Macaca fascicularis: one gene and its partner. The protein of the gene in region 1 interacts with the protein of each later gene in a biochemical or structural test. Links are inferred from orthologs where the notes say so. Each region holds a gene or a part of one and is shown on either strand. Other genes may lie near its edges. The genes, in order: GJD2 and LNX2.

What was found.
Region 2: the proteins of GJD2 (region 1) and LNX2 form a complex in vitro, tested with the Homo sapiens proteins (2 studies listed by BioGRID and IntAct, with this or other methods). The link is inferred for Macaca fascicularis from reciprocal best matches to the Homo sapiens genes GJD2 and LNX2.

Annotation. Positions count from the first base shown.
Region 1 is NC_088381.1:11,267,347-11,271,815, reverse strand, and holds the start of GJD2 (gap junction delta-2 protein), read left to right. Parts: upstream 1-1,562; 5' UTR 1,563-2,066; coding exon 2,067-2,137; intron 2,138-2,945; exon of another isoform or gene 2,946-3,050; intron 3,051-3,130; coding exon 3,131-4,025; 3' UTR 4,026-4,469. UniProt on the Homo sapiens protein: One gap junction consists of a cluster of closely packed pairs of transmembrane channels, the connexons, through which materials of low MW diffuse from one cell to a neighboring cell.
Region 2 is NC_088391.1:7,597,594-7,602,168, reverse strand, and holds the start of LNX2 (ligand of Numb protein X 2), read left to right. Parts: upstream 1-1,569; 5' UTR 1,570-1,755; intron 1,756-4,575. Other genes in the region: protein POLR1D, read right to left, coding at 127-152; DNA-directed RNA polymerases I and III subunit RPAC2, read right to left, coding at 127-152.

The DNA of each region.
Region 1 (4,469 bases):
GGATCACATTCCATCTGGAAGCTAACTGAACAATAGGATATCCATTCGTCCTCACCCTTGAACCTCCTCCGTGTTCAGAAGGAAACTAAGAAATGCATGCCCTAGTCCTAATGTTTCATTTACACTTCATCCCTCTCTCCATTGTTAGTGGACACGTTTACTCCTTTGCAGTGAAAGGCTGCTTTCTTGGGGTAAGGGTGTCAACCCTAGCAGAGGATTTCAGTGATCTTTCTGGCGGCGAAGCTTACGCCATGTGTTTAAACATCATTTTATGAAGAAGTACGCTGTGAGTGGACTCAGGGACATGCCCTGCACCTTTCTTCCCAGTCCCTGGGCCACCAGCTACCCAACCACCTCGGTTGTTCCAGAAGTGAAGGCTCACCATGGTGTGGCTTATATAATACACATAGTGCTATGATCCCTGTGGATAATTAAAGCTAGGTCCCTTTATATGCCTAGGACAAGTTAACAACCCTTTCACGGTTGTGTTTTCAAAAGGATGACAACTACTTTCCCATTGTACTTTTGTACATTTACATCAAACACTCCCAACTACAGTGCCTCCTAATACGGACCCCTGGGCTAATTAGCAGCTTACTGTGATTGTTTCAATTTTTCAGCGACCAATTAAGTAGTTGCTCTAGACAGAACTGACAACACAATGTGAATTTTAAAAACCGCGATCTGCTGGTTGAGGGGAGAAAGCCAAACCCAGTAAAGAAAGTGGGGGCAGGGCGAGGCTGTGAGTGGCTCTGTTTCTGCTAGCAGAATACTGGGTCTTAAATTCAGATTAAATCACAGCTTACCTGACGAGTATCCCCCGCCCTTCCCACTAGTAAAATAATAACAATAATTTAAAAAGAGCAGAGCATCTGGGTTACTGCAATGGGAAGCGAGACCTTTAACCATAGCCACCCTACTCGCTCATTGCGAGGCACCTGTTAGATGCGCTCTTGTACCCTGATCCCCATACAGAGAGACAGCTCCACACCTGCATTTACCCTTCAGCCTAAATGGATTCCCATCAAGCCTTTCCCACTTCAGTGTCGGATCCACAGAGGCACCGAACCGCAGCCACTCTCCAGAAGCACTCTCAGCCCCTCCGTCCCCTAAGGGAGATTTAAAAGTGGTCGCCCCCACTCGCCCTCCCTCAGCCAGCATCTCCATCTAGGGAAGGAATTTCAGTTGTCTCCCGAAGGCCAAAAGCGAAAAGGTGAGGGATGCACTGAGAGAAGAGAAGAGAACATATACCCAACTCACTCCCCTCCCCACTCACCCACGCGTCCGCTCCCGGCTCCCCCCTCCGCCTGCTTGGGTCTGGCGGTCAGGTGAGGTTACCTGGGCTCCCCGAGAAGCCCCGAGAGGCGCTGCAGTCCTTTTTCGAAATCGCCCCGCTCCCCGCCGGGCCCCCAGGACTCTTGCCCCTCTCCCCCCCGCGCGCGTCCCCGGCCCCTCGGGCTCCGACGCGCAGCGACAGCCGCACAGCGCGCTCTGCTCCCCTCCGCCGACCTGGCGTGACGCAGGCGGAGACTACTTAAGGGCGGATTAGAGGCGGCGGCCGCGGATCCCCGAGCCCGGCATTCGGCTCCGCGCGCTCAGCCCCGGCCTCGCAGGCTGCCGCGCCGGAGCGCCAGGTGCCCGCCGAAGTAGCAGGAACAGAGCCGGTGCCCGGACCCTCCCCCGGCCCCCAACCTGCGGCAGAGAGCGGCGCCGAGACCCCTCCTGGGCGGGCGAGCGCTCAAAGACCTGCAGGCTGCCACCCCGCCCCTCGTCCCGGCGTCCGCGGGATCCAGACCCGAACCCCGGACGGCGCCCGAGGTTCGTGCTCTCTCTCTGGACCGCGCCAACTGCCCCATCAGTCCGGACGCGTTTGGATTTCTTTCCCCATTTCTTCTGTTTTAAGTACAATAATAGGAAAGGGGGATTCGAGGATTTTTTTAAAAAAATGCTTTTTTAATTGGGAGGCAATTCACTCCCATTCTGGAGGTGCGGCCCGGGGAGGGGCCAGGAGCAGGAACGTGCCCGGTGCTGCCCAGTCTTTGTCTGCTGCCTCCGGATGCACAGCGATGGGGGAATGGACCATCTTGGAGAGGCTGCTGGAAGCCGCGGTGCAGCAGCACTCCACTATGATCGGGAGGTAAGGGCGACAAGCCGGCAGTCAGCGGGCCCCGTCGGGCGGCCCCGGGAGTCCCTTCTCACACCCGGACTGAATCCCCCGCTCCAACCCCCAGCCCGTCCTCTGCCTCCTCCCCATCGTCCTAAGTCAAGGCTCCGGTGTTCCTGGCGATGAGGGATTACTCCTGACCAACTGCCCATCCCTTCCCCATCAAGCACCACTGGGGCTTCACTCTTCCCACATCAGAAAAGAAGCCGCTGGCTCAGTCTTGGTCCCTCCACTCTCCAGAGTCAGAGCCAATCTCCATCCGGTTCCCTAAATAGAATCTACAAAGAAGGCAGGATTGCATTTGGACAGAGAAAGGCAAATGGGGAGATGGATTTGCTCTTCAGAGCAGATGCCTCTTTTCTCAACAAATAATTAGTAAACTAAACTAAACTTATTTGGCCGTGTAAACTTACCGAGCCTACACACCCAATTGCCATTTTTGTGTCTGTATATCTATGTCTCTAGAGTTCAATATATATAAATATATATCTTCATAGCCATCTGCTTATATAAAGCATTAAATTTAATATTCATGTTGAGAATAAACTAAATATACCCATGGAGTAGTTACATGTAACACACCCTGTGTGTAGACCTTGAAGCATGCACCGTCTGTAAAGGTATTCTGTGTGCATTTGCCATATCCAGAGTGAAGGTGTGTTTTGTGTTTCTATACATCCTATATAGAGAGATGAAATCTATCTGTTCCAAGTAGACTATGTCCAGTGTATGATGTTGTGTGTACCTGGGATCTCTATAATATGAAATGTTCCCAGCTTACCAGCACTCAGCAGAAAAGGAAGAGACAAAAAGCTTTCCCAGATTCCCAGTTCAGTACCAGCCGGGGATGGACAGCTCCCCAGTCAAACGACTGGAAAACATCAGCAAAGGGAAGGGAGGAGCAGGGGTTTCCTGTCAGTGACGCAGCCCGTGAGAACCTCTCTCCCTCCCTCTTCCTCTGCTCAGGATCCTGTTGACTGTGGTAGTGATCTTCCGGATCCTCATTGTGGCCATTGTGGGGGAGACGGTGTACGATGATGAGCAGACCATGTTTGTGTGCAACACCCTGCAACCCGGCTGTAACCAGGCCTGCTACGACCGCGCCTTCCCCATCTCCCACATACGTTACTGGGTCTTCCAGATCATAATGGTGTGTACCCCCAGTCTTTGCTTCATCACCTACTCTGTGCATCAGTCCGCCAAGCAGCGAGAACGCCGCTACTCTACTGTCTTCCTAGCCCTGGACAGAGACCCCCCTGAGTCCATAGGAGGTCCTGGAGGAACTGGGGGTGGGGGCAGTGGTGGGGGCAAACGAGAAGATAAGAAGTTGCAAAATGCTATTGTCAATGGGGTGCTGCAGAACACAGAGAACACCAGTAAGGAGACAGAGCCAGATTGTTTAGAGGTTAAGGAGCTGACTCCACACCCATCAGGGCTACGCACTGCATCAAAATCCAAGCTCAGAAGGCAGGAAGGCATCTCCCGCTTCTACATTATCCAAGTGGTGTTCCGAAATGCCCTGGAAATTGGGTTCCTGGTAGGCCAATATTTTCTCTATGGATTTAGTGTCCCAGGGCTGTATGAGTGTAACCGCTACCCCTGCATCAAGGAGGTGGAATGTTATGTGTCCCGGCCAACTGAGAAGACTGTCTTCCTAGTGTTCATGTTTGCTGTAAGTGGCATCTGTGTTGTGCTCAACCTGGCCGAACTCAACCACCTGGGATGGCGCAAGATCAAGCTGGCTGTGCGAGGGGCTCAGGCCAAGAGAAAGTCAATCTATGAGATTCGTAACAAGGACCTGCCCAGGGTCAGTGTTCCCAATTTTGGCAGGACTCAGTCCAGTGACTCTGCCTATGTGTGAGAGGGAAGGTTTCACAAAGGTCTGGGGGATGGCAAGAGCCCCAAGGCAGATGACTGCTCAGAGGTGGCTGTGTCCACCCTCATTTATGTGACTCTCACCATTAAGATGTAGGATAAGACTGGATAAAAGAAGATTTTGCATCAATGGGAGAAGAGGAAAAGTGGAACCATTTTCACATATCACCTAATTGGTTCCACAGAGACAACTGGGTCGAGTGATGAAATGGATGAATTGGACTTCTTTGGGCCCTTTCTGTTCATGGCCCAAGCCTAATCCTGATAACACTGAACTTGCACAGCTACCAAGTAGGACTTAGCCCTGCTGAGCTCTTTATTCTGGTGAATGATGTGAGTTGAGTACTTCATTGATATAAAATTTGTGACCTATCTCAACACGTCCTTTTATCCTGAGCCATGGGACAAACATCCTTGAGGCACCCTTCAT
Region 2 (4,575 bases), on another chromosome or scaffold:
TCTCTCTCCATGATTCTTCTCTGCGCCCCGAGTCAGGCCCCGACTGCCAGGCCGGGCAGCGTGCCCCTAGGCCACCCGCTCCCCTTGGGCGCGGCCCGCTCCGCCCGCCTCCTCCTCGGCCGTTACCTCTCCAGCTCCTGGTCCTCTTCCATCGCTGGGGCGGTTTCCGGATCCTCAGGTGGTGCTGGCGGATCGGGGGTTCTGTCCCATAGCGCGAGGCGTGGAGACGAAGCAGGAAGGAAGGACAGACCGACGGAAGGCGCGGAGGACGGAAGGAGGGAGGAGGAGCCGCAGCGGCGCGGCAGGGCCCAGCCGCGGGGCGGGGCATCAGGCTCCGCCCCCAGGCCCCGCCCCGACGCGGGGTGGGCGGTGGCTCGCGGCCCGGCGGCTCACCTGGGCGACCAGGCGAGGCCACTCACGGCGGGAGGGGCAGGGGGTGGGGGCAGGGGGTGGGGCCAGCGCCGCTTTACCCCGAGGCCCAGACAGGCCTGCGGGCGCGCCAGCTCAACCTTGGTACCTTTCCCCAGGTGATGGTGAAGGAGCGGGGCTTTACCTGCCGCCCCCAAATCACTTCCCTTCCCAGTGGCAAGGGCGAAAGAGGCCCGACTCCCCCACTGGGGCGGTGTTGACCCAGGATGGCCCTTCCTGGGACCCCGGCCTCCTGGGCCTTCTGTGGGACGACAGGCTTAGGCTCTAGTCGGTCAACACACCTTGAAGAGGGAGGAGGTCACGTGCAAGATGAGTCACGACAGAATACGAGGGTTGAAGGCGGTATTTGTCTCACCGGGGACCTTGCAGTTGCATTCTCAACTGGGTCAAATAAAGGGCAAGAAAGAAATGTCTTTCTCTTTTGGGGGAGTGAGAGTTTGCGAAAAAACTGTTTCCCACCTCATCCTTTCCGTCCTAGGATTCCTTCTATCCCCCAGAGCGCGTCCTCTCCGGCTGTGGACTTCCTTTCCCTTTACCCGCTGTGGCTCTTCAAACCTCTTCACCTGCGGAACCCGCCCTCACCTTTGTTCCCAGGTGCCCAGCCCCCGCCTCGGCAACCTTCGCCACCCAGACTCGCTCTCCGCCCAGCTCCCACGTCCCGGCCCCGGCCGCGCTCCCTCAGGTGCGCTTCCTCTCGAATAGGCCCTTCTCCCCTAGCCGCCGGCCCCGACCCTGCCCCACTCCAGCTGTCCAGCTGTCCTGCGCAACTACGTTTCTGCTTCCCTGCGCCACCTGTTCTCCTAGCCTCCCCCCACCCCGCCCCGCGATTCCTCTGGATGTTCACTCCTTCCCGAGCAGTGCCACTCCTGGCAGCGGCCCGGGGTGCGCACAGGCACCTAGCCCCCGGGGCTTCCGCAGGGGAATCAGGCGGGCGGCGGGGACAGCCCGGGGCGGGTGGGGGAGGCGGGCGGCGAGGGCGGAGTGGTCTCACTCTAACCCAGGAGTGACGGGCCAATTCTGGCCCGCCTCCCGAGCTCTCGGATAGGTGGAGCCGCCCTCTGGTCCGCCCACCTCCCGCCCTGTGCTACCTCCGATTGGCCCGGCTGCGGGTTGGGCCGCTCGGCCTTAGCGCTGGCCCCCGGGAAGGCAGCAGGGGCGGTTGAGAAGTGAAGTCTTGGCCGGAGTTTGCTTCTTGCCAGGAAATCCGCGGTGGCGGCGGCGGCAATTCTCGGCGGAGCGGAGCCGGGCAGGCTCTCCGCTCCCTCAGCGGGCCGCGGAGAGCGGGAGCTGGTGGCCGTGCGCGGCCCGGGCAGCCGCGCTTTCCCAGTGAGTAACTTTGCCCTGCCCGCCTCGCTGCGCGCCCTCTCCCCGGCTGCGGGCAGCCGCCTCAGGTGCGGGCGTCGGCTGGGTGTGGAGGAGCGCCGCGCCCCGGGAGGCGGCCGGAGCGGCGCCGCTGCTCGCCCCGGAGCTTTGGTCGTCCGCGGCTGTCTTTGCTCGCCCGGGCTGCGGGGCTGGCGTGGACTCCGGTGTGGGGCTGGTCGGGGAGGGAGAGTCGGCGCCCGGTGCCCGCCGCCTGTAGGAGCCCTGGAGGCGGGCGGCCTCCGGCTGTTAGCATTTGCTGGTTCCGGCCACCGCGGTGCAGATCTTGGCGTCGTTTGCTTCTTAAGGGAAGGGAGAGGTGGGGTGAGTGTTTAAATTTCCTGTGTGTGTGTGTGTGGTGTCGGCAATGCGAGTGGCACTAGCTGCCTTTGTCGGATTTTGTTCCTCTGCAAAGGGATAGGGAGAGATCGTTCCCTCCGCCCTAGCCTGTTGCCTGTGAATTCTCACCTTTCTCTTTAGGCTGGAGAGGGTGGGAGATAGATTTGACATATTCCAGTGGGTAATTTAAAAATGCGAATCTTGATTTGGAACCAGTTGCACACAAAGCATCGTTCAGGAAATACATCACTCGCTTTTCAAAGCTTTATGCCACGTTTTAAACAAGGACTTTTGACTCATGTAGTGTTTCTTCTAGTATTTCAGTTTACGTTGAGTTTATGAATCCAGACGTTCGTTTGTGCCAGGAGCTAAAGTACACTTATGCATGGACTTTGCTGTATTTATTATCCTTTTTAAAATCACAGAAATCAGAAACAAAGTTGAGTGAAGAGCGGTGGCGGTGCAGGAGGAGGAACACTTGTGAGCTCCAGCTTATTGGAACTGCCTTTAAGAATTTCACATTCTTGCGGCAATAGTACTTACTTGTAAATTGGCCTTCTTCCCAGGACAGATTTTGATATTTCTTTTGCATGTACTTCGATGCAGCACTGATGAAGTTGGATCTCAGTAGATCAATTTTATTTACTTTGCTAGATTTGATTCCCACCCCCACACCTCTTTAGAAAATGGACTTTGGCAGGTAAAGAAGGAAGCGGGAATCTGGTATCCTTTTTGGCTTGTCAAAGCTTTGTTGAGCCATGAATAACAAAGTTTTGGCTTTTTAAGCTTGTCCAAGTCCCACATGTGAGTTTTCCCATGGGGTAAAAGTAGGCCAAATGAGAACCAAAGTAGAATAACATTACTTTTAATTCGGCCCACTTGTGTGTTACATTCTCCATATATCTTGTTTCTCTCGTCTTCTCATCAGCTTTGACATTTTTTCATTATTTATTCATTTAGCCACTGATAAAGTACCTACTGCATGCCAGCCATTGATGGCAGGGGTTAGTTCTTGCCCAGAAGTTTTCTCATTTGGAAATTGATCCATGCTTTTATCCCGCTAGTTACCGTGAAGTAATTTGAACTTAGGGAGCATTTCTGCCTGGAGACCTGTAAGAATAGGTGTTACGTAGGCACCTAGCCTTCAGATTGATTTGGGATATCGTACATTGTAGGCACGGAGCACGCAGGCCACTTAAAAATAAATGCATGTATCTTTGGGCTGTTGTATTATGAGCTTTGCATATGGGCTTGTCTGGCCGAAGGACCCAGTGTCCAAGGTGGAAGTAGTAGTCAGGGACATGTATGGTATTCATTTCAGAGCACTTGGCACCTTTTCTTGCTTACATTGGTCACTAAAATATTTACTGAATTGACTTGAACAGAAAAATGAAGGATTTTGTATACCAGATTAAGAAATTTGGACTTTATCCAGTCAGTGATACTGAGCTGCTAATTTTAAGCAGGAGAATGTCATGATAACATTCGCGTTCCAGAAAGATATCTGCAGCATCTGGAGGATGGTGGGCTTCCAGATGGGCGGTATTGAGACTAAGTTGGAGGCTGTTATAATGGAGGGGTTAAGTGCTCAGGGATTCTCTATTCAGATTACCTGGGGTGGAATCAAGCTCTGTCATACACTGAAACCTCTTTGTTCCTTAGGTTTTTCATCTCAGAGTTTGGGGGATAGAACTTGAAAAAACATGTATATTACTTAGAATAGTGATTGCCACATAGTAAGGACTTAGTAAATGCTAGTGTGCTGGCAGTGGAAGGAGAAACGACATGGCATTTAACGCGTATGACTAGGAGGCTGGACCAGGTAAGTGACTAGATAGGCTTAAGGGAGGGGAAGGATGAATCCTGGGTTGTTTGATTTCAGGCATTGATTGACATGTACTGGGTAAGCTGGCTGTGGAATTAAAACGGGTCAAATTCTAATTCTATTACTTACCCTTAGAATTACTATCCTGACAGAACTTTGATTTCCTAATATTTGGGAAATGATTGTCATACCTGTTCAATAGGGTTTGAGAAATTACACATGTAATGCCTTTGGCAGGGTACCTAGCACATTCCAAGTGCATAGATGATGACGTTAATGAGCTAGTGGAATGTTGGAGGATATGAGAAGAAGCAGTTAAAAACAATTGATGGTAGAGGTGTGGAAGGGGAGATAAGTTCAGTTTTGGACCAATCTAAGGAGGTGCTAAATGGATGGTTGAGAGATCCATGATGCAGTTGTTGGATAGTTGTGTCTCACAGGAGCTAGAAAAGAATAGAAAAGAAAAAAAAAGAGTTCACAGAAAGCCTTTATGGGTGTGGTAAGCTTTATAGGCGATTTAGAGGAAGGGGAGGGTGAAGGGGTTCACAGTGGAGCAATGTCAGAAGTGTTGACATTGAATATTAGGCATTTCTGTCCTTAAAATACATTTTGGCCACCATCAA